Linked DNA regions of Saccharomyces cerevisiae S288C. The gene in region 3 interacts genetically with the main gene of each other region. Each region holds a gene or a part of one and is shown on either strand. Other genes may lie near its edges. The genes, in order: OLA1, YBP1, ALG9 and POL4.

Region 1 (4,837 bases), on a different chromosome or scaffold from region 3:
TATTAACTATGACGGTTGGTTTGCTTGCCGCCCCAAGTTATAGAAGACTGCCCTTCATCCCGGGGTAGCTATCATAGAATCTGTCGATAGTTACAATTTTGGGTGGGGTGTTTTCAAAAATGGACGGATATGCCGGTCTTTGAAACTTCGATGATGTAGCCTATTGTTTTAATTTTCTGCTTGATCCTTTCGCTCTTTTTAGGGATAAAAAAGAAAACCTAACAAAGTATGAATTTCGAGAAGTCCCATCGATAGTAGTCAAACAATTGCTAAAGAGGGCTACGGATCGTCTACAATACCTTCGTAAAACAGCAGCTTACAGGATCTTTTATAATATCACCATAGAAAGGGGAATTTGGGAAGCGAGAGTAAAATGTTGAATAGTTCAAGAAAATATGCTTGTCGTTCCCTATTCAGACAAGCGAACGTCTCAATAAAAGGACTCTTTTATAATGGAGGCGCATATCGAAGAGGGTTTTCAACGGGATGTTGTTTGAGGAGTGATAACAAGGAAAGCCCAAGTGCAAGACAACCACTAGATAGGCTACAACTAGGTGATGAAATCAATGAACCAGAGCCTATTAGAACCAGGTTTTTTCAATTTTCCAGATGGAAGGCCACCATTGCTCTATTGTTGCTAAGTGGTGGGACGTATGCCTATTTATCAAGAAAAAGACGCTTGCTAGAAACTGAAAAGGAAGCAGATGCTAACAGAGCTTACGGTTCAGTAGCACTTGGCGGTCCTTTCAATTTAACAGATTTTAATGGTAAGCCTTTCACTGAGGAGAATTTGAAGGGTAAGTTTTCCATTTTATACTTTGGATTCAGTCATTGCCCCGACATTTGTCCAGAAGAGCTTGACAGATTAACGTATTGGATTTCTGAATTAGATGATAAAGACCATATAAAGATACAGCCATTGTTTATCTCATGTGATCCTGCAAGAGATACACCGGATGTCTTGAAAGAGTACTTAAGCGATTTTCACCCAGCTATCATTGGTTTAACCGGTACGTACGACCAAGTGAAAAGCGTATGCAAAAAATACAAGGTATATTTTTCAACTCCACGTGATGTCAAGCCCAACCAGGATTACTTAGTGGACCATTCGATATTTTTCTATTTGATCGACCCTGAAGGACAGTTTATCGATGCGTTGGGAAGAAACTACGATGAGCAATCTGGTCTCGAAAAGATTCGTGAACAAATTCAGGCGTATGTGCCAAAGGAAGAACGGGAGCGTAGGTCAAAAAAATGGTACTCTTTTATCTTCAATTGAGCAAAAAAAAAAAGAAAAAGACACAGCTAGGATACCGAACTTATGGGTCGTTCAATTTAACAGTTACATTGTAAATAGAAAAAAATAGTAAAAAAAATGAAAGTCAAATGATTATGCTTGTCAGTTCAAATTATTAATTGGGCTTAAGGGCGTAAACATGCGGGAATAATAAACATACATACACACATACATAAAATCCGATGCCATCCACTCGCGAGATTGCTTTTTTCCTTTCGTTTCTCTTTCAAGAAAATCATGTTGAAAATTTCTATGATGATATATAGTAGGGAACTAAACCAAATAAAGAAAAGTCAACTTTAGTGCACGAAATCAATTCTTACCAGCACCAGCTCTGAAGTAAATGATATCACCGTCTTCAACGACATAGTCTTTACCCTTTTGCATCAACTTACCAGCGGCCTTGATGGCAGAATCGTCCTTATATTCGAAGACATCTTCACATTTCATAACTTGAGCCAAAATAAAGGTATTCATTAAATCGTTATGAATAACACCAGCAGCTTGTGGAGCTTTAGTACCTCTTCTGATGGTCCATTCACGAACTTCATCTGGACCGCAGGTGAAAAAGGAAATCAAATCTAACTTTTGTCTCATGGTAGTGATAATCTTTGGCAAGGCAGATATTGTCTGCAGTTTCTTCAATTCTTCTTCAGCATCTTCTGGGGACATATGAGATAGTCTTTCTTCTAGAGAAACACTGAATGGAATGATCAAGTCACCTGGAGAGTACTTGTCTACCCATTCCTTGATTCTTAGCAGATGCTTGTTTTTCTTTCTGATGTAATCTCTTTCAGATAAATTAATCAAATAGATACATGGCTTAGCAGTCAACAAGAACATGGAGTTGATAATTTCAACTTCTTTTGAAGTCCAGGAGTGATTAGCAACTCTTTGACCACTCTCTAGCAATTTAATGATTTTCGTAATCAAATCCATTTCTTCCTTCTTTTGTTTGACTTCCAAAGATTGACCACCTCTTTTGGCAATCTTTTCAGCACCTTCCAAAGCCTTTTGTGCGAATTCAATATCTTTCAATCTTAGTTCTTGGTTAATAATTTCTAAATCACGAACTGGATCAACGTCACCCTCAACGTGGATAATTTCAGCATCATCGAAACAACGAACGACTTGGTAGATAGAATCGACTGATCTGATGTGAGACAAGAAAGCATTACCCAAACCTTCACCAGCAGAGGCACCCTTAGTCAAACCAGCAATATCGTAAACGGTCAAATGAGCTGGAACTTCCGAAGCTGTCTTCTTGTAGATTTCACACAACTTATCAAATCTTGGAGATGGGACAATAACACGGGCTTCTTCTGGATCAATGGTAGCGAATGGATAGTTAGCTGGGTTACCCAATGGACATCTAGTGATGGCTTGGAAAAAGGTAGACTTACCAACATTGGCCAAACCGACAATACCGGCTTTCAAGTTATTACCTGGACGACCCAATAAGACCTTTTTTTCTTCGACTTGCTTCTTTGGAGGCATGTTTTACAGTGCTATTTATTTGATTGTTTTTACGGATACTAGAAGTAACACAAAAAGCTAAAAAAGGCAAAATGCAATAAAAAATTAGTACTAATTATCAACTGAATACACTACTAAATACGATTTCTCGCAACGAAAGGTATGAGAGAGAAGACGTAAGTTGACTTTCACTGCATCCTTCCTTTTGGGTCATAAAATCGCTGGGATGGCCCTTGAAAAAATTTTTTCAGTGAAAAAAAAAAGAATTTTCGAGAAAAAAAAAAAATTAGGAATTGTGCGTGGTCATTCAATACGGAGAATTAAGTAACACGCAACAACTGCATTCTGCCTTAGTTGTCTCAAGGCAAATTGGCACCAACAATATGAACTTGTTGTAAAGCTCAACTCCAAAGAAGGGAAACTACTCAGATTTGTTTTCTTCAGTTTAACAGGCGTATCTTCTGCAAATCTACTACGTTTCCTACCGAAGACTTCGCTCTACGAGAATTCTTAGGTTTCTACGAGTTACGCGCCCTTCTTCGAACGCCATTCTCAGGAAAAATTGCATTTACGTAATCTTTTGTTCTAATTGATATAATGGCTATTTATACGTAATATCATGCTTAAGAACCAAGAAAGCCAATAATGGCATTCGGAGGAAGCAATCAGTGAGGAAAATTGTTGATTAAGCTAGATATTTCTATATCTAGTAGATCTTGTCAAGTTGAAGTAGCGAATAGGACTCCTGTATTGCTATTGTGATGTTTTTTTATTGTACAGTAGTTGTATAACTTATCGTTGGTATTAACTACCGTTTGTTTATACATCATGCTCATTATCTCGTCCTGACTAATGTGAAAGGATCGATATATACATTGAAGGGTCGACGTCCCCTTTTATTAGCTCCTACAAAGATAGCACTGGCATATATTTTTTAATGTCTTGGTATATATTATATAGCAACTATACTCGATGTCATAAAGAGGAATACTATCTTTGGTGGTTGTCTAACTCTGAGCAATGCTAAGGCCCTTACCATTCTAAAACAACCATTTTTTTCTTCCCCTTCCCAGTTATACCTTTTTTGACTAGTTCTAGTAACTGTTCGTCAGTAGTAGTGTTAGTATTCCAGGTAAGAGTTTCAATTTCATCTCTTGGTGAAATAATGTGACCATAATTATACATTTTGATAAAATCACTGATGGTGTCAATCTTGCTTTGGGGGTTTTTTTTGTTCTTTTCAGTCACCCAGTACCCTTTGGATGTCAAGCCTTTGAAAATGTGTAGAGATGTTGGTAAAGTTACAGGTTGTTTTGACATTCCTCCATAAGTGAGCATCAAAGCATTATTTTCCAACTTACGTGCTATTGATGCACTGGATTTACCTCCAACAGAATTCAAGGCAAGCCTCACCCTTGCATTTTCACCCAAAATCTTGGACAATACTTCTTTGGCAAAAGTCTTGTCGTTGTTTTGCGATTCGGAAATAACCTTCGTAGCACCATACTTATCCTCCAAAACTTTTGCTACCTCATCAAAATTATCACGGTCACGTATAACACTTAATGTTTTGATCCCTTTAGCTTTTGCTACTTGCGTAACTATTTTTGATACACTAGATGTACCGGCATTTTGGATAATCCATTCATTACCGTTACTGTTCCAGTCGATATAGTCTGATACTAATTGGAAACCGGTACAACCATTAACAGATACAGTTGCCGCAGAAAACAGATCCAAATCATTTACCTTGATTAAATCAGAACTACTAGAGAAAACTCTATAATTGGACCAAGTCCCTTGATTTGCCTGCAATGGGATAACTCGGTCACCCAATTTCAAATCTCCCTTGGAACTTCCCGAAGGTAAAGAAACAACTTCAAAGACACCCTCATTACCGGCGATAGCGGCTGGCTCATCTGTGGAGTAATCGTATGTCTTTTCTGGACGAGACGGGTATACTCCTTGCAACTGATTGATATCCGAAGGGTTTATGGGAAAGGCCAAAGTTTTTAACACAATTGATTGAGATAAGTCTTGTTTAGGCGTATAATTTTTCACTGA
Region 2 (5,640 bases), on a different chromosome or scaffold from region 3:
CAAGTGTCCCCCATTTGCACGATGCTCAGGGCAATGTCATCAACGTTACAAAGTCTGCACCACCATCCGGATGGAGACAAGTGCTACTGGAAAAGGGACCATCTGAATTTGCCAAGCAAGTCAGACAGTTCAATGGTACTCTACTGATGGACACCACCTGGAGAGACGCTCATCAATCTCTACTTGCAACAAGAGTCAGAACCCACGATTTGGCTACAATCGCTCCAACAACCGCACATGCCCTTGCAGGTGCTTTCGCTTTAGAATGTTGGGGTGGTGCTACATTCGACGTTGCAATGAGATTCTTGCATGAGGATCCATGGGAACGTCTGAGAAAATTAAGATCTCTGGTGCCTAATATTCCATTCCAAATGTTATTACGTGGTGCCAACGGTGTGGCTTACTCTTCATTACCTGACAATGCTATTGACCATTTTGTCAAGCAAGCCAAGGATAATGGTGTTGATATATTTAGAGTTTTTGATGCCTTGAATGATTTAGAACAATTAAAAGTTGGTGTGAATGCTGTCAAGAAGGCCGGTGGTGTTGTCGAAGCTACTGTTTGTTACTCTGGTGACATGCTTCAGCCAGGTAAGAAATACAACTTAGACTACTACCTAGAAGTTGTTGAAAAAATAGTTCAAATGGGTACACATATCTTGGGTATTAAGGATATGGCAGGTACTATGAAACCGGCCGCTGCCAAATTATTAATTGGCTCCCTAAGAACCAGATATCCGGATTTACCAATTCATGTTCACAGTCATGACTCCGCAGGTACTGCTGTTGCGTCTATGACTGCATGTGCCCTAGCAGGTGCTGATGTTGTCGATGTAGCTATCAATTCAATGTCGGGCTTAACTTCCCAACCATCAATTAATGCACTGTTGGCTTCATTAGAAGGTAACATTGATACTGGGATTAACGTTGAGCATGTTCGTGAATTAGATGCATACTGGGCCGAAATGAGACTGTTGTATTCTTGTTTCGAGGCCGACTTGAAGGGACCAGATCCAGAAGTTTACCAACATGAAATCCCAGGTGGTCAATTGACTAACTTGTTATTCCAAGCTCAACAACTGGGTCTTGGTGAACAATGGGCTGAAACTAAAAGAGCTTACAGAGAAGCCAATTACCTACTGGGAGATATTGTTAAAGTTACCCCAACTTCTAAGGTTGTCGGTGATTTAGCTCAATTCATGGTTTCTAACAAACTGACTTCCGACGATATTAGACGTTTAGCTAATTCTTTGGACTTTCCTGACTCTGTTATGGACTTTTTTGAAGGTTTAATTGGTCAACCATACGGTGGGTTCCCAGAACCATTAAGATCTGATGTATTGAGAAACAAGAGAAGAAAGTTGACGTGCCGTCCAGGTTTAGAATTAGAACCATTTGATCTCGAAAAAATTAGAGAAGACTTGCAGAACAGATTCGGTGATATTGATGAATGCGATGTTGCTTCTTACAATATGTATCCAAGGGTCTATGAAGATTTCCAAAAGATCAGAGAAACATACGGTGATTTATCAGTTCTACCAACCAAAAATTTCCTAGCACCAGCAGAACCTGATGAAGAAATCGAAGTCACCATCGAACAAGGTAAGACTTTGATTATCAAATTGCAAGCTGTTGGTGACTTAAATAAGAAAACTGGGCAAAGAGAAGTGTATTTTGAATTGAACGGTGAATTAAGAAAGATCAGAGTTGCAGACAAGTCACAAAACATACAATCTGTTGCTAAACCAAAGGCTGATGTCCACGATACTCACCAAATCGGTGCACCAATGGCTGGTGTTATCATAGAAGTTAAAGTACATAAAGGGTCTTTGGTGAAAAAGGGCGAATCGATTGCTGTTTTGAGTGCCATGAAAATGGAAATGGTTGTCTCTTCACCAGCAGATGGTCAAGTTAAAGACGTTTTCATTAAGGATGGTGAAAGTGTTGACGCATCAGATTTGTTGGTTGTCCTAGAAGAAGAAACCCTACCCCCATCCCAAAAAAAGTAATTTTTACTCGTTAATTATATTTTATGACATCTGAAAATACTAGCTGTACTATATATGGCGTATATTTTATCTAGTTATGTTCCCATGTATATTTAAATGCCAAATAGAAAGTAATCAAACACTTTCGATGAAATACGTGCTAACTGTGTTTCTTCCTTAATGCTTTCACTTACCATGTCTCCATTCTCCATTTTCTTCTTGAGTGAAAATGTGAGTTTATAACGCTCAAGTACGTTAACTACTCTATTTAATATCGTACGGGATTTTTGATCGACTGTAGGTTTTCTTCTTAGACCATTCCAGCGCCCGGGTATTTAACCAAACGCTACGGATGCACAATAACTTACAATAAGCTCATCATTAGTCTTGAATTGCATCCAAAGTTCACCAATATTTTGCTGCGGACTTGGCGCAAACGAATTATTTATATAACAATAAACATGGTCCATTTTCAGCCGTCTCTTAAGAAATAAAATAACCATTGCAAAAGACTGTGACATTGATATTTTACAAACAGATGGTTTTAACTGCCCAATAGAACCAATGGGCTGAAATTTTATCTGTATCTTTTGTATGTTTTTTTCGTCTTTATGGCTTTTTTGTTTGCTTGTTTGTGCATTCGTTTTGATTGTCTCTTCCTGTTCATAAGTGCCACTAGAGGAATCTTCAACTTGCTGGTCGACAGAAATGTCACTCGCCAAACCAAGCTGAGACAATCTCCTGCTAAAAAGTTCCAATCTATTTTGAACGGTATGAGGAGATGATCTTAATTCTTGATTATTTCTGGATCTTTCCATTGCCGTTCCATTATTTGTGGATATGATGGAGCTTTCGTCACTTTCTGTTTCATTTTCGCTCTCTAGGATCCTACTCATACTGTCATTGGTTCACTCTACTGTAGAATATACAGTTAGGGATGTACGTTTATTTCTTCAGCTCAAGTAGCTTTCTGTCAAACACTAAGCGGGCATCCTTCATAAGTACGATTCTTTAAATTTGACAATGTAAAGGAAAAAAATAAAGACTAATTGCCGGTGAACATTATTAACAAATAAACACTGAAAAAGAAAATCACCCTAGACATTCAATACGATACTCAGACACTAATGGAACCAATTGATGACATACTTTTTGAGGTTACTGATGCGTTCAAAACTCAGAAGGAGGATCTTCTTGAGTTGGTAACATTGATTGATATATATGGCGAGCAAGTTAACCAAGAGGGGAGCTATGAAGAAAAGACGAGATTCATTGAAACTTTGAATACATTGTTAGAGGATAATCCGAGTACTACTGGTGAAATCGGTTGGGATCTGCCTAAGGGATTATTGAAGTTCTTGTCAAAGGATAATGTCGATGTAAATGGAAGACTAGGTACGAATATGATTGTCCAAGGTGTAATGAAGTGTTTCTATGCCATCTCAATCCAAGGCGAGCCCAAAAAATGTTTAATTACTGGGTTGGAGTTGCTTTCATCCCTTTGTTCAAAAGATTTTTCCAAGAGTGATCAACAGAATAAGGAAGACTTTGTTGATAAAAAGGCCAATACGTTACCTCCTGAAGGAGTAATCGAAAATTCCTCTAATCGAAAAGATTTTCCATCCTACGGTGAAAGCAAGAGTTCAAATGAATTTTTCTTGAAGTTGAAATCCTACATTTTATTTGAATTCATAGGGGCGAGTCTGAAAAGGATTTCTACTCTGTTTCCTTCGAAATATCTGGGAGCTGCTGTGTCAACAATTGAGAAATTTGTGTATAGTCATGCGGACACTTTTGAAGATGCCCTTTTCCTTCTTCGTAGGGTGTACACATTCTGCAGGAACTATATTCCCCCTGATCCACCAAAAGATATACAATTGAACGAAGATTTTACTCGAGAGATGTTTGATAAAGTTGTGGAGGAAGAAAGTGAATTACAGGTTAGACTATTGCGTAGGCTTTGTACTTTTGGTATTTCGACACCCATAAAAACTGTCACCACCAATGCCGACGTGAAATACTATTGTGCACTAAATCAACAGAAGTTTGAATTATCTGCATATTACACCGAATATCTTGAGCTATTTTGCAGGTATTACCAAATGGCGTTCTCGCTTGATGTTGATATAGAGGGAGAATTTCAGAATGTGATAAAAGAATGTAGGATTATTTATAAGTCTGTACCCCAGGAGATTTCCGCTGTTAATGATGAAGCAAAGTTGGTTTTGGAAAGAATGGTATATAAATTGGCTTATACATTCGAAGTACAAAAGGCCGCTAAAGAAAAAAATGTTGGTTTGGACTATAATGGTGTAATATTATTTTCTGGTATCCACTATTTGGAAACCAATCAACATTTAGTAAAGGAAATGAATATAACGGATGCCATTTATCTCTACTTGAGATTTACAACTCCATCATTATATTCTAAAGTTTACTATAATGTAGCAGTTGAATCAGTTAGTCGCTACTGGCTATGGTATGCTATTACAACCGAGCCCTTGGAGGATGTAAAAAAAGAATTGAAGAATCTTTCAGTGTTTGTTACAAAAACATTATTGCATGTTCTACTTCAAAAGAACTGTATTCAGGTCAATCAGCAGTTAAGAATGATAACTTTCACTCTTCTCACCAGATTACTATGTTTAATACCTGAAAAAGTTGCATTTGAGTTTATCTTAGATGTGCTTAAGACATCTCCCCTTCCATTGGCTAAGACGTCCGTATTATGTGTTTTTAAAGACCTTTCAAGGCGACGCATCTCCACCAAGGATAACGATTCTGAGACGGATTTGATTGTCGAAAAATTATCCAAACTGAAGGTCAATGATAGTAACAAAGCTCAGCAAAGTAACATCAGACATTATATCCAACTAGATTCTTCCAAAATGAAAGCTGTTCATGACTGTTGTCTGCAGACTATCCAAGATTCATTTACGGCAGATGCCAAGAAGAGTGATATATTATTACTGCTAACTTACTTGAATATTTTCATTGTGCTAAAAAAAACATGGGATGAAGATCTACTGAAGATTGTTTGTTCGAAGATTGATTCTAATTTGAAGTCAGTCGAACCTGATAAACTTCCGAAGTATAAGGAAATTGTGGATAAAAACGAATCTCTAAATGACTATTTTACTGGTATAAAATGAAGTTCTTATCTATTTCATTTCCACCAAGATATTGAACATGCCATACTCGTTTCTGGTTTTATAGCCAAGTTTATAGATTCTCTAAGGTGAAATTATCTATTTTTTCTTTCACCATATTATCGGACATAGATACATGGATAGAAAAGCATTCGCTCGGAAAAATCTTCATATAAACTGACTATATACTTTCAGATATAGGCACACTTTATTTCATTTTTTATGTCGTTCAGGGATTTTGGAAAATCTCTGACACAATGCTTATTTATTTTTAACACCACCTCTTTTCATGGTACCATTTGCACGCTCCAAACTTGCATAGTGACCTTTTTCGATTAATGGACCAAAGTAAACAAAAAAACCGTCCTTGGTGGCAGCACGCTGTTCCTCCCACAATAACTCCGAATCATCAATGAACGGATCTTCAACGTCATATTTACCAATCAAATTTTTACCTTTCATAGGATGCGACTTCTTCTTCGGAGAGATGGTGGTAGTTACAG
Region 3 (5,299 bases):
TTGTTCCCTGAAGACTTGAATATTCTTGGTAAAGTTGAAGTTGAATACAAAGTTTTGCCAGGTTGGGATCAAGATATTACCAAAATTACAAAGTATGAAGATTTGCCGGAAAACGCAAAGAAGTACTTAAAATATATTGAAGATTTTGTTGGCGTTCCTGTTGAATGGGTTGGTACCGGCCCCGCAAGAGAAAGCATGTTGCATAAAGAAATTAAATAGGGCGTTGGACATCCATGACAAACTTCAATTTAATTTCTTTTCACAGTTTTATAGTTTTATATATACGAAATGTAACTAATCATGACATTTTTTAAAAGTTTTCAATGAAAAAATGAAAGAGTAATGAACAAACATATTTTTTTTATAAAATGCATAAAAACATATAGATATATATATATTTACGTGGAAAAATGTTAAAACTATTGATAAGAAAAAACGCTCAAAACAAGTAGTAAGCAGGCTTTTTTTTTTTTTGCTGCTTGTTTTAGAGAACCTGTATATCAATTAGTAGTCTCAGTTGGTTTTTCAAACAAACAGTAATCAATGTAACGAACACCGTACACTTGATTCCATTGTTTTGGTAAAACTATTTGCATGATTCGGTTGATTGGCTCCGGTACGTAAAATGCTCTACCCAAAATCTTAGAATTTTCACCGTCGATGAATGCAGCACATGCCAGCTTATTCCAGTTATCCATCAGATGTAGAGGGTTGAAAACGTCTTTTGTTAAATTTATTGGGGCGACGATGTCAATAAAATAATCACATCTAGTGATCGGCCACTCTTTACCGGTATCATATATATTCTTGTTATTCATTCCCTTAGGTAAAGTTCTAATCTTTTTGAAAATAGAACCACTCTCTGGAAAATCACCTGGAAGAAGACCATCAAATCCAGATTTAACAAATTTTAGCCTATGATTATCTGGCAGCAGGAAAGAACTTGGGAAGTGATACCATTCACGTCCCGTACATACATTCACTACCGGTGCCTTCACACCACCTTGATTTAGTGAAGAAAATTGCTCGTAGACGGCTATAGGAGCTGTGTAATTGTTCACCAAAGCCACTATCCGTGACATTGCCTGGCCTGCAACAATTAATAAAACTGACAACTTTATACCTTTTTTAAGAATCGGCTTTCTATTGAATAGATTCAACACTTTGTAAAAGGCGATACTTGCACTCAAAGTTATTAACCCGTAAATTGGATAGAGAAATCTTTCCTCTTTGTGAGGTTGTTGAGTGAAAACGGCAATCCATGTGAATAATGATGCCCATAATGGCCATAATCTCAAATGGAAAATTCCCAAAATAGCTAAAACTAGCACAGGCAGTGGGAAATTCAGTAACAAATTTAGTGGATAGTAGTACCATGGCTCAACCCCGAAAATATTTGGGCCAGATTCCTCACTTGCATTAATGACATTGTAAAATAAGATGTTCCATGATACAGGAGCAAGCTTCCCGTAAAATATACTGTCAGTGACAATCACAGCAAATGCAGTCAATGAAAATATCAAACAGCAGTCGAATGCGGTTCTGATGGTAGAAATAATTCTATGGTTGAAAAGGTAATGTAAACATAATGGCAAGCTTAAAATTAAAACAAATGGCCAGCCTAGTATACTAGCCAGGAAATTGTACGCTAAACTTTTCGTAAAGTTAGAAGTAGACCCAGTGGACAGATAGCGTAGAGAGTGTCTGGTGGCACCTACATACAACAACATGGCAACGGCAGAAGGCAATAATTCCACAGATGCATGGAACCAGCCCGGATTAAACAATTGGAAAATAATCCAAATATTTGCGATTTGCAATGCCAAGCTGCCTGCAATTTCACGATGTAGTTTAAATTCCATGATAAAACTAAAAAAGCCTAAGCATGCTCTTGTGATGAAAAAGTTCCAATGACTTTCTAGGTCAGTAAATTTGTTTACTGGATAAAGAATACAGTAAAAAGGTAATAAGAAAGCCCATGATCTAATAGAATACTCGGGTGAATATTCCCAGGTTTGTTTACCAAATCCACGTACCAATAAATTTAATGGTTCCCAATAATTAAAAGTTTCATCGCAATCTGAAATTAACGAGAATGTCGGCTGAATATATACTCTTGTTAAAAATAACAACAGTAATAAACTAATGGTTACCGCCTTGCAATTCATCGTTCCCTTATAATTGTGCTTCAGGGTGAAAAAAGAGCCAATTCGATACAGCTAAAGTTTTGAAATCTCGTTGAGTAGCCGTAATGGTACAATAAAAACGAAAAAGTATTCTCTATTGTGTCAAAAACACCCCTGTATATCCAGTTGTCCCTTTTTCAAGCTTGTATTGACAGTTCTGAATATCGCAGAACGGTTCTCATCAAAATTCAATATTGCGTAACGGACTTATTGTTGCATTTTCAAGTAAATAAGCCGGGTCAGGATGCCCGCCGTAGATAGTAAAAAGTAGGTATAACATGCGCAAGAGCAAAACGGATTTGACAACATATCCAAGTGATAAGTGGTCGTTTAGATACATCATATACTATAACGGTTTGATATTGAGAGCCCAGTTAAAATTAACATCTGTTTTTTGTTTTTTAATTGACATTCAATCATCGGTTGCTTTCCTTGTGAAACTGTACGCGTTGTCTTAAACGAAACGTGTTTTAAGGTAGGTCATCGACAGGTAAAAAATAGCTTATTAGCAGAAGAACGCTAGCGGTAAGATCTGAAACAGGATCGCACAGTCTCAATGAGTAACAAGAGGACATCTGTAGAACAGCTCATATCATGCCCAATTTGCTCTAGAAAAGTCTTTTTTTCCTTAATCAACTCTCATCTTGACATATGTGGCAAGGAAAAGTCAAAGCCTTCGAGTAGGCCACAAACGGTGTCAAGTCTTTTGGCAGGCCCAAAAAAGAGGAAACAAGCTAACTCAGAGAAATTCATTGATCTTGAAAATAAGGACCATGAAATTAAGCCAGGTCTTAAGAGCGAGAGTGATGATATTGAGATTGTTGAAAATGAAAGCAAAAGATTTAAGGCAGCACCATCCACGGATTTTGCGAAATCAATAGTGGAGCCTGCTTCGAGCAGAGATCAACTTCACAACGATTACGAAAGCAGATGGTTGCAGAAAATAAGCCATTTGCCACTTAGTGAAAAATTGAGGCCAAAAGAATTAAGAGATTATGTAGGTCAGCAGCACATTCTCTCTCAAGATAATGGTACATTGTTCAAATACATAAAACAAGGGACTATACCATCTATGATACTCTGGGGCCCTCCAGGTGTAGGAAAGACTTCACTAGCTAGACTATTAACGAAAACTGCGACAACCAGTAGTAATGAATCAAATGTTGGTTCCAGGTACTTCATGATCGAAACAAGTGCGACAAAGGCAAATACGCAAGAATTGAGAGGTATATTTGAAAAATCAAAAAAGGAATATCAATTGACCAAAAGAAGAACTGTACTTTTTATTGATGAAATTCACAGATTCAATAAAGTTCAACAGGATTTGTTATTGCCACACGTAGAAAACGGTGACATTATTTTGATTGGTGCAACGACAGAAAATCCAAGTTTTCAGCTGAACAATGCTCTCATTAGCAGATGTCTGATTTTTGTCCTAGAAAAGCTGAATGTCAACGAACTGTGTATTGTTTTATCAAGAGGAATTGCATTATTGAATAAATGCAGGAAACAAGTATGGAATATTGAAAATCCTTTGAAATTGTCTAGAAGCATACTGGAGTACGTGGTAGATCTGTCGGTGGGTGATACAAGGAGGGCGTTAAATATGTTGGAAATGATCGAAGTTTCAACAAGAGAGCGCAAGGCCGACGAGGAAGAATTATCTATCGATGATGTACGAGACATAATTAAGAACAACAGCAGCAACGGGTTGAATACATACTATGACCCAAAGGGAGATAACCATTATGATACAATCTCTGCGTTTCATAAATCCATTAGAGGTGGGGACGAAAACGCCTCACTGTACTATTTAGCAAGAATGTTGCAGGGAGGAGAGGACCCATTGTATGTTGCCCGAAGAATGATTCGAATAGCTTCTGAAGATATCGGATTACGGGATAGTTCATTATTGCCCTTGGCTGTCGCGGCACATGACGCAGTAATGAAAGTTGGTTTGCCAGAGGCAGACCTTGCACTGGCGCAATGTTGTGTTGCTTTGGCTAGGGCACCAAAGTCAGTAGAACTATATAGAGCTTGGAAGAAATTAAGGGCAATGATGAGCGAGAACATGTACAGTTTAGCAAGCAGTGAGATACCGATGCATATCAGAAATGCGCCAACCAAATTGATGGAGGAGCTGGGTTATCATAAAGGCTACAAGTACAATCCCGATTATATTGAAGGAAAAGTCCAACAAGACTACTTTCCCAAAGAAGTGCTCGAGAAATGTCCAAATAAAACTGACTTAAAGTTCCTGGACGGCAAACATTTAGGAGACAAAGAAGATCCTGACTTGAGACAGTCATATCAGGGTTAGTCAAGGGTCTTCCATACTTCTCTCAATGCCGCGTCTACAATTCATATTTTTTTCTCTGTTGGCCAATGCCGCTTGTTTTTTTACGCTTGAGGCGCATTGCATTGCTGGCACGTTTTTGTGCAGCATGAACGATATAAACTATAATTTTAGATAATCAAGGATCCACCTTTTTTTTTCATGCTAGAAAAGTCTCGCGGGCCCATCTGAGATATATTAGAACATATACGCATCCTATAAGAAGAGCACATTATTCTTGAATTAGTTCTTCCTTTTCCTCGACCTTCCAGCTTGTAAAATGAGCCAGGCTTGAGGAGCATAGATACGCAAAAATGGAAGATAAGCGGAAAAGACGAGCCGCTACACTTAGTACAGCATTGATATTATTTGTGGCATGCTGCGTTTATACACTATATATATTCAAGTTTGATAACCCTCGGTTGTCTCCACCAGTTTCCTTATTGCCTACAATTAGCACCTTGAAGAAAATTGAGCATGTAACAGATTTAAATAAGGAGTACGTTTTTGTTGGTGACGTTCATGGTAACTATGATGAGTTCATAGAACTCATTGATGACAAGATTGGAGGACTAGGAGAAAATATAACAATGATATTGCTGGGTGACTTTATTCACAAGGGCCCGGACTCAGACAAGGTCGTGTCGTATATTCTAAATCACAAGGATCAAGTCAAGTGCGTTTTGGGCAATCATGAAATATTGGTCATGATGGCCTATTTAAACCCAGACTTCTCGAAATGGGTAAGACGCCCCAAATTAATGACACCTTTAACTTT
Region 4 (5,613 bases), on a different chromosome or scaffold from region 3:
CCCTTTTTTGGTAGAGGATTTGCTCTCACCATTAATGATTCTTTTTTTCTCTTTCTTTGTCAAATTACCAGTGGATAAATGCGTAGTGATATTTAGTGGATCATCATCTATTAGATTGGATTGGCCTTTTTCTTTACTTTCGTCACCACTGCTTATAGTCTGTCTCTTCAAAGCAATTCTTTTCCAGGCAGGAACGTGATTTTCGGACATTTAATTGTGAAGTGAATGTTTCTTCTGCTTGTAATTTGTCGATAAAGAAAGCACTTATGACAGTACTTTGATATTTGAATTTAGCTCATCTCTTTTCGTTCCTTTTTCTCGCTCGAAAATTTTCAATAATTTGCAGTAAAAAGGCGATGCCAGTAAAAAACTACCTGCAAAGGGAGCGTTAGACATATCTTTTATTGGCGACAAATATTTTTAGCGATATATATCCGTAAAGATCTGGCGATATTCTTTATCACTCGATGATAATAAATTCTTTTACACTTTGCTATTTTCCATGAGAACGGTTGGTATTCCTGTTCCCAATAACAAAAGCGTTTGCATATTTTTATGGTGAAGGTACTATCAACTGTAAAGTATGTACAATAGATTTATTAAAGGGAAACACTTTTCGTAGTAAGAAAAGCAGGTTTATAATTCAATTGTTTTAAAGCTGAATAATGCCGTGGTGTTAAACTACGACCGAGCTATAGCAACAGCATCGGCCACACACTCTCTCTTATTCTTATGTTAATAGTCGACCTTTCAAGGATGTTCTTGTTGGAATAGAAATCCACTATCGTCTATCAACTAATAGTTATATTATCAATATATTATCATATACGGTGTTAAGATGATGACATAAGTTATGAGAAGCTGTCATCGAAGTTAGAGGAAGCTGAAGTGCAAGGATTGATAATGTAATAGGATAATGAAACATATAAAATAGAAGAAGGGATAATCGTAATATTAGTATGTAGAAATATGGATTCCATTTTGAGGATTCCTCTATCCTTGAAGAGAACTCCTAGTATATTCCGTATACATAATATTGTTGCTTTTCTCGAATCATGTATCAAGATTACTAGCGCAAGTGGTTTAGTGGTAAAATCCAACGTTGCCATCGTTGGGCCCCCGGTTCGATTCCGGGCTTGCGCATCTTTTTTACTTTATATACTATTTTTTTTTTTTTTCTTTTTCCCAAATTTTTTCATGAAAAATTTGGCGGAACGGTACATAAGAATAGAAGAGATTCGTTATGAAAATTTTCTACTCTCTTTCACATTTTTTTTTTCATAAGAATTAAAAAAATAAGCTTAATGCCCTCTTTGTACGATGGTGTCACTCTAAAATTATTTACGTAATTTAATTGGATGTGATATCAAGCACTAGTTTTGTTTGGAGGAGCAGAGATTGAAAGCCTAGCTTTTACACCGGTTTGAGTCGGTTCCTTCGTTTTCTTAGTTGGAATTGATATAGAAGTGTGTGGACAATCGATTTGCAAAACTTTTTATTTTATGTATTACTACTGAGCTTGTTTATCTGTATACTTTTTTCTTATTATTATGTAGTTAGAGGTTAGTTCTTATCGTTTTCTTTAAAAGCGACCTTTCTTCGCACAAAGCAATGTTGACAATCGAGCCAATGCATTTAACAATTGCAGTAACCAGAAGCGAACAGTGGAGGATATGAAAACCATTATTATTTCAGATTTTGATGAAACAATCACAAGAGTTGACACAATCTGCACCATTGCTAAATTACCGTATCTACTGAACCCGCGGTTGAAACCTGAGTGGGGTCATTTTACCAAGACATATATGGACGGATACCATAAATACAAATACAATGGAACGAGATCACTGCCGTTGTTATCTTCAGGCGTACCTACGATAATTTCGCAGTCTAACTTCAATAAGTTGTTTGCGGACGAATTAAAATATCAAAATCATAACAGGGTTGTTGAGTTAAATAGTGTAAATGAAATTACAAAACAACAGATTTTTAAGTCGATTTCTTTGGATCAAATGAAAACGTTCGCCAGAGATCAGAATCACGAAGATTGTTTACTAAGAGATGGTTTCAAAACGTTTTGCTCTTCAGTTGTCAAAAATTTTGAAAGTGATTTTTACGTTTTATCTATAAATTGGTCAAAAGAGTTTATTCATGAAGTCATTGGTGACAGAAGACTTAAAAATAGTCATATTTTTTGTAACGATCTAAAAAAAGTTAGTGACAAGTGTTCTCAAAGCTACAATGGTGAATTTGATTGTCGGTTATTGACAGGCTCTGATAAGGTCAAGATACTGGGTGAAATATTAGATAAGATCGACTCAGGTTGCAATAAAGAAGGAAATTCTTGCAGCTATTGGTATATAGGGGATAGTGAGACTGACTTGTTGTCCATATTACATCCATCTACTAATGGTGTACTGCTAATAAACCCGCAAGAAAATCCTTCCAAATTCATAAAAATTACCGAAAAGATTATTGGTATCCCAAAGGATAAAATCTCGAGTTTTGAAGCTGATAATGGTCCAGCGTGGTTACAGTTTTGTGAAAAGGAAGGCGGTAAAGGTGCCTACCTTGTGAAATCCTGGGACTCTTTAAAAGATTTGATCATGCAGGTAACAAAAATGTAGAAACGGATGAAATCCTGTATATTCAAATTTATATAACCAGGACGTTGCAGTGCTAATAATAATGGAATACCGCTAATTTTCCTCCTGTTTTTTCTTTTTTAAGTAAAGATAAAATAGTATTTCACTTGCACTATTCTTCTATCTCCGTAATCGGTCTCGGTCTAAAATTACTTTGAGATGTTCAAATACATGGGGCTAATAATTTTAAGGGCTTGCAAAGAACTTATATGTCACAGTGATAATAAGTAAAGGATAAACATGCGACCTGTTAGACAAATCGCACATGTCTCTAAAGGGTAAATTTTTCGCCTTTTTACCTAATCCTAACACATCTTCCAATAAGTTCTTTAAGAGTATATTGGAGAAAAAGGGCGCCACAATTGTGTCAAGTATTCAAAATTGTCTTCAATCTAGCCGTAAGGAAGTGGTCATTTTGATTGAGGACTCCTTTGTTGATTCTGATATGCATTTGACTCAGAAAGATATTTTCCAAAGGGAAGCAGGCTTAAATGATGTCGATGAATTTCTTGGTAAGATTGAACAGTCAGGCATTCAATGTGTGAAAACCAGTTGCATCACAAAGTGGGTCCAGAATGATAAATTTGCGTTTCAAAAAGATGATTTGATTAAATTTCAACCATCCATTATCGTTATATCAGATAACGCTGATGACGGACAAAGTTCTACTGATAAAGAGAGTGAGATTTCAACTGACGTAGAAAGTGAAAGGAATGATGACAGCAACAATAAAGATATGATACAAGCTTCAAAACCTCTTAAGCGACTCTTACAGGGGGATAAAGGAAGAGCTTCCCTTGTTACTGACAAAACGAAGTACAAAAACAATGAATTGATTATCGGAGCGTTGAAAAGGTTAACAAAAAAATATGAGATCGAAGGTGAGAAATTTCGTGCAAGAAGTTATAGACTGGCTAAACAGTCGATGGAAAATTGCGATTTCAATGTTCGTTCCGGTGAAGAAGCACATACTAAATTAAGGAATATCGGGCCTAGTATTGCCAAAAAAATACAAGTTATATTAGATACGGGAGTTTTACCAGGTTTAAATGATTCAGTGGGATTAGAAGACAAGTTGAAATACTTCAAAAATTGTTACGGCATTGGGTCGGAAATTGCTAAACGCTGGAATCTTCTAAATTTTGAAAGCTTTTGTGTTGCAGCTAAGAAGGACCCAGAGGAGTTTGTATCAGATTGGACAATTTTATTTGGTTGGTCATATTACGACGATTGGTTATGCAAGATGTCTCGGAATGAATGTTTCACACATTTAAAGAAGGTTCAAAAAGCGCTGCGTGGCATTGATCCTGAATGCCAAGTCGAATTACAGGGAAGTTATAATAGGGGCTATTCCAAGTGTGGTGACATTGATCTTTTATTTTTCAAGCCGTTTTGTAATGACACGACCGAGTTGGCAAAAATCATGGAAACGCTTTGTATTAAGTTGTACAAGGATGGCTATATCCATTGTTTTTTACAGCTAACGCCAAACTTGGAAAAGCTATTCTTAAAAAGAATAGTGGAGAGATTTCGTACAGCGAAGATTGTTGGGTATGGAGAAAGAAAGAGGTGGTATTCTTCTGAGATAATCAAGAAATTTTTCATGGGAGTCAAATTGTCTCCAAGAGAATTAGAAGAACTGAAAGAAATGAAAAATGATGAAGGCACATTGTTAATTGAAGAAGAAGAAGAAGAAGAAACAAAATTAAAACCGATTGACCAATATATGTCTCTGAATGCCAAGGATGGAAATTATTGCAGAAGATTAGACTTTTTTTGTTGCAAGTGGGATGAGCTTGGAGCAGGAAGAATACACTATACTGGATCTAAAGAGTACAATAGATGGATAAGAATATTGGCAGCGCAAAAAGGCTTCAAGCTTACACAACACGGTTTATTTCGAAATAATATCCTTCTCGAAAGCTTTAACGAACGCAGAATTTTCGAGTTATTAAACTTAAAATACGCTGAACCCGAACATAGAAATATCGAATGGGAAAAAAAAACTGCATAAAGGCATTAAAAGAGGAGCGAATTTTTTTTTAATAAAAATCTTAATAATCATTAAAAGATAAATAATAGTCTATATATACGTATATAAATAAAAAATATTCAAAAAATAAAATAAACTATTATTTTAGCGTAAAGGATGGGGAAAGAGAAAAGAAAAAAATTGATCTATCGATTTCAATTCAATTCAATTTATTTCTTTTCGGATAAGAAAGCAACACCTGGCAATTCCTTACCTTCCAATAATTCCAAAGAAGCACCACCACCAGTAGAGACATGGGAGATCTTGTCAGTGACACCGTACTTCTTAGCGACAGTGGCAGTGTCACCACCACCAATGATGACGGTGTTACCAGCAGCAGAGCTCTTGACAACTTCGTCTAACAAAGCCTTAGTACCAGCAGCGAACTTTTCGAATTCGAAAACACCTGGTGGACCGTTCCAGACAATGGTCTTAGCCTTTGCAACAGTAGCAGCAAACAACTTTCTAGATTCTGGACCATTGTCCAACCCTTGCCAGCCAGCTGGAATACCTTCCTTGTCAGTGACAGTCTTGGTGTTGGCATCAGCAGAGAAAGCATCAGCAATGATGAAGTCGACTGGCAAGACGACTTCGACACCCTTGGCCTTGGCCTTTTCCATCAACTTTGGAACGATTTCAGCACCAGCCTTGTCGAAGATGGAGTCACCGATTTCAGTGTTTTCCAAAACCTTCTTGAAGGTGAAAGCCATACCACCACCAATGATGATAGAGTCGACCTTGTCCAACAAGTTGTCAATCAATTGAATCTTGTCAGCAACCTTGGCACCACCTAAGATGGCCAAGAATGGTCTGGTTGGGTTCTCCAAAGCCTTACCGAAGTACTTCAATTCCTTTTCCAACAAGAAACCGGCAGCACGTTGTGGCAAGTCGAAACCGACCATAGAAGAGTGAGCTCTGTGAGCGGTACCGAAGGCA

The links.
Region 1: mutations in ALG9 (region 3) and OLA1 together harm fitness more than expected from each alone (negative genetic interaction), as found in Saccharomyces cerevisiae (2 studies listed by BioGRID).
Region 2: mutations in ALG9 (region 3) and YBP1 together harm fitness more than expected from each alone (negative genetic interaction), as found in Saccharomyces cerevisiae (2 studies listed by BioGRID).
Region 4: mutations in ALG9 (region 3) and POL4 together harm fitness more than expected from each alone (negative genetic interaction), as found in Saccharomyces cerevisiae (2 studies listed by BioGRID).

What each region holds. Positions count from the first base shown.
Region 1 is NC_001134.8:289,072-293,908, forward strand, and holds OLA1 (Obg-like ATPase), read right to left. Parts: upstream 2,795-4,837; coding exon 1,610-2,794; downstream 1-1,609. Other genes in the region: putative thioredoxin peroxidase SCO2, read left to right, coding at 374-1,279; ETR1 (enoyl-[acyl-carrier-protein] reductase), read right to left, coding at 3,806-4,837. UniProt on the Saccharomyces cerevisiae protein: Hydrolyzes ATP, and can also hydrolyze GTP with lower efficiency. Has lower affinity for GTP.
Region 2 is NC_001134.8:655,076-660,715, reverse strand, and holds YBP1 (Ybp1p), read left to right. Parts: upstream 1-3,115; coding exon 3,116-5,140; downstream 5,141-5,640. Other genes in the region: PYC2 (pyruvate carboxylase 2), read left to right, coding at 1-2,009; ATG12 (Atg12p), read right to left, coding at 2,324-2,884; HPC2 (Hpc2p), read right to left, coding at 5,399-5,640. UniProt on the Saccharomyces cerevisiae protein: Involved in oxidative stress response and redox homeostasis. Required for hydrogen peroxide-induced oxidation and nuclear localization (activation) of YAP1. Functions probably in concert with HYP1/GPX3, the actual YAP1 modifying enzyme.
Region 3 is NC_001146.8:235,496-240,794, forward strand, and holds ALG9 (dolichyl-P-Man:Man(6)GlcNAc(2)-PP-dolichol alpha-1,2-mannosyltransferase), read right to left. Parts: upstream 2,169-5,299; coding exon 501-2,168; downstream 1-500. Other genes in the region: ADE12 (adenylosuccinate synthase), read left to right, coding at 1-219; ssDNA-dependent ATPase MGS1, read left to right, coding at 2,743-4,506; PPN2 (putative serine/threonine-protein phosphatase), read left to right, coding at 4,836-5,299. UniProt on the Saccharomyces cerevisiae protein: Mannosyltransferase that operates in the biosynthetic pathway of dolichol-linked oligosaccharides, the glycan precursors employed in protein asparagine (N)-glycosylation.
Region 4 is NC_001135.5:138,231-143,843, reverse strand, and holds POL4 (DNA-directed DNA polymerase IV), read left to right. Parts: upstream 1-2,910; coding exon 2,911-4,659; downstream 4,660-5,613. Other genes in the region: RNA-binding ribosome assembly factor RBP95, read right to left, coding at 1-210; CTO1 (Cto1p), read left to right, coding at 1,674-2,627; PGK1 (phosphoglycerate kinase), read right to left, coding at 4,848-5,613. UniProt on the Saccharomyces cerevisiae protein: Repair polymerase. Involved in gap-filling in DNA nonhomologous end joining (NHEJ) required for double-strand break repair. Seems to conduct DNA synthesis in a stepwise distributive fashion rather than in a processive fashion as for other DNA polymerases.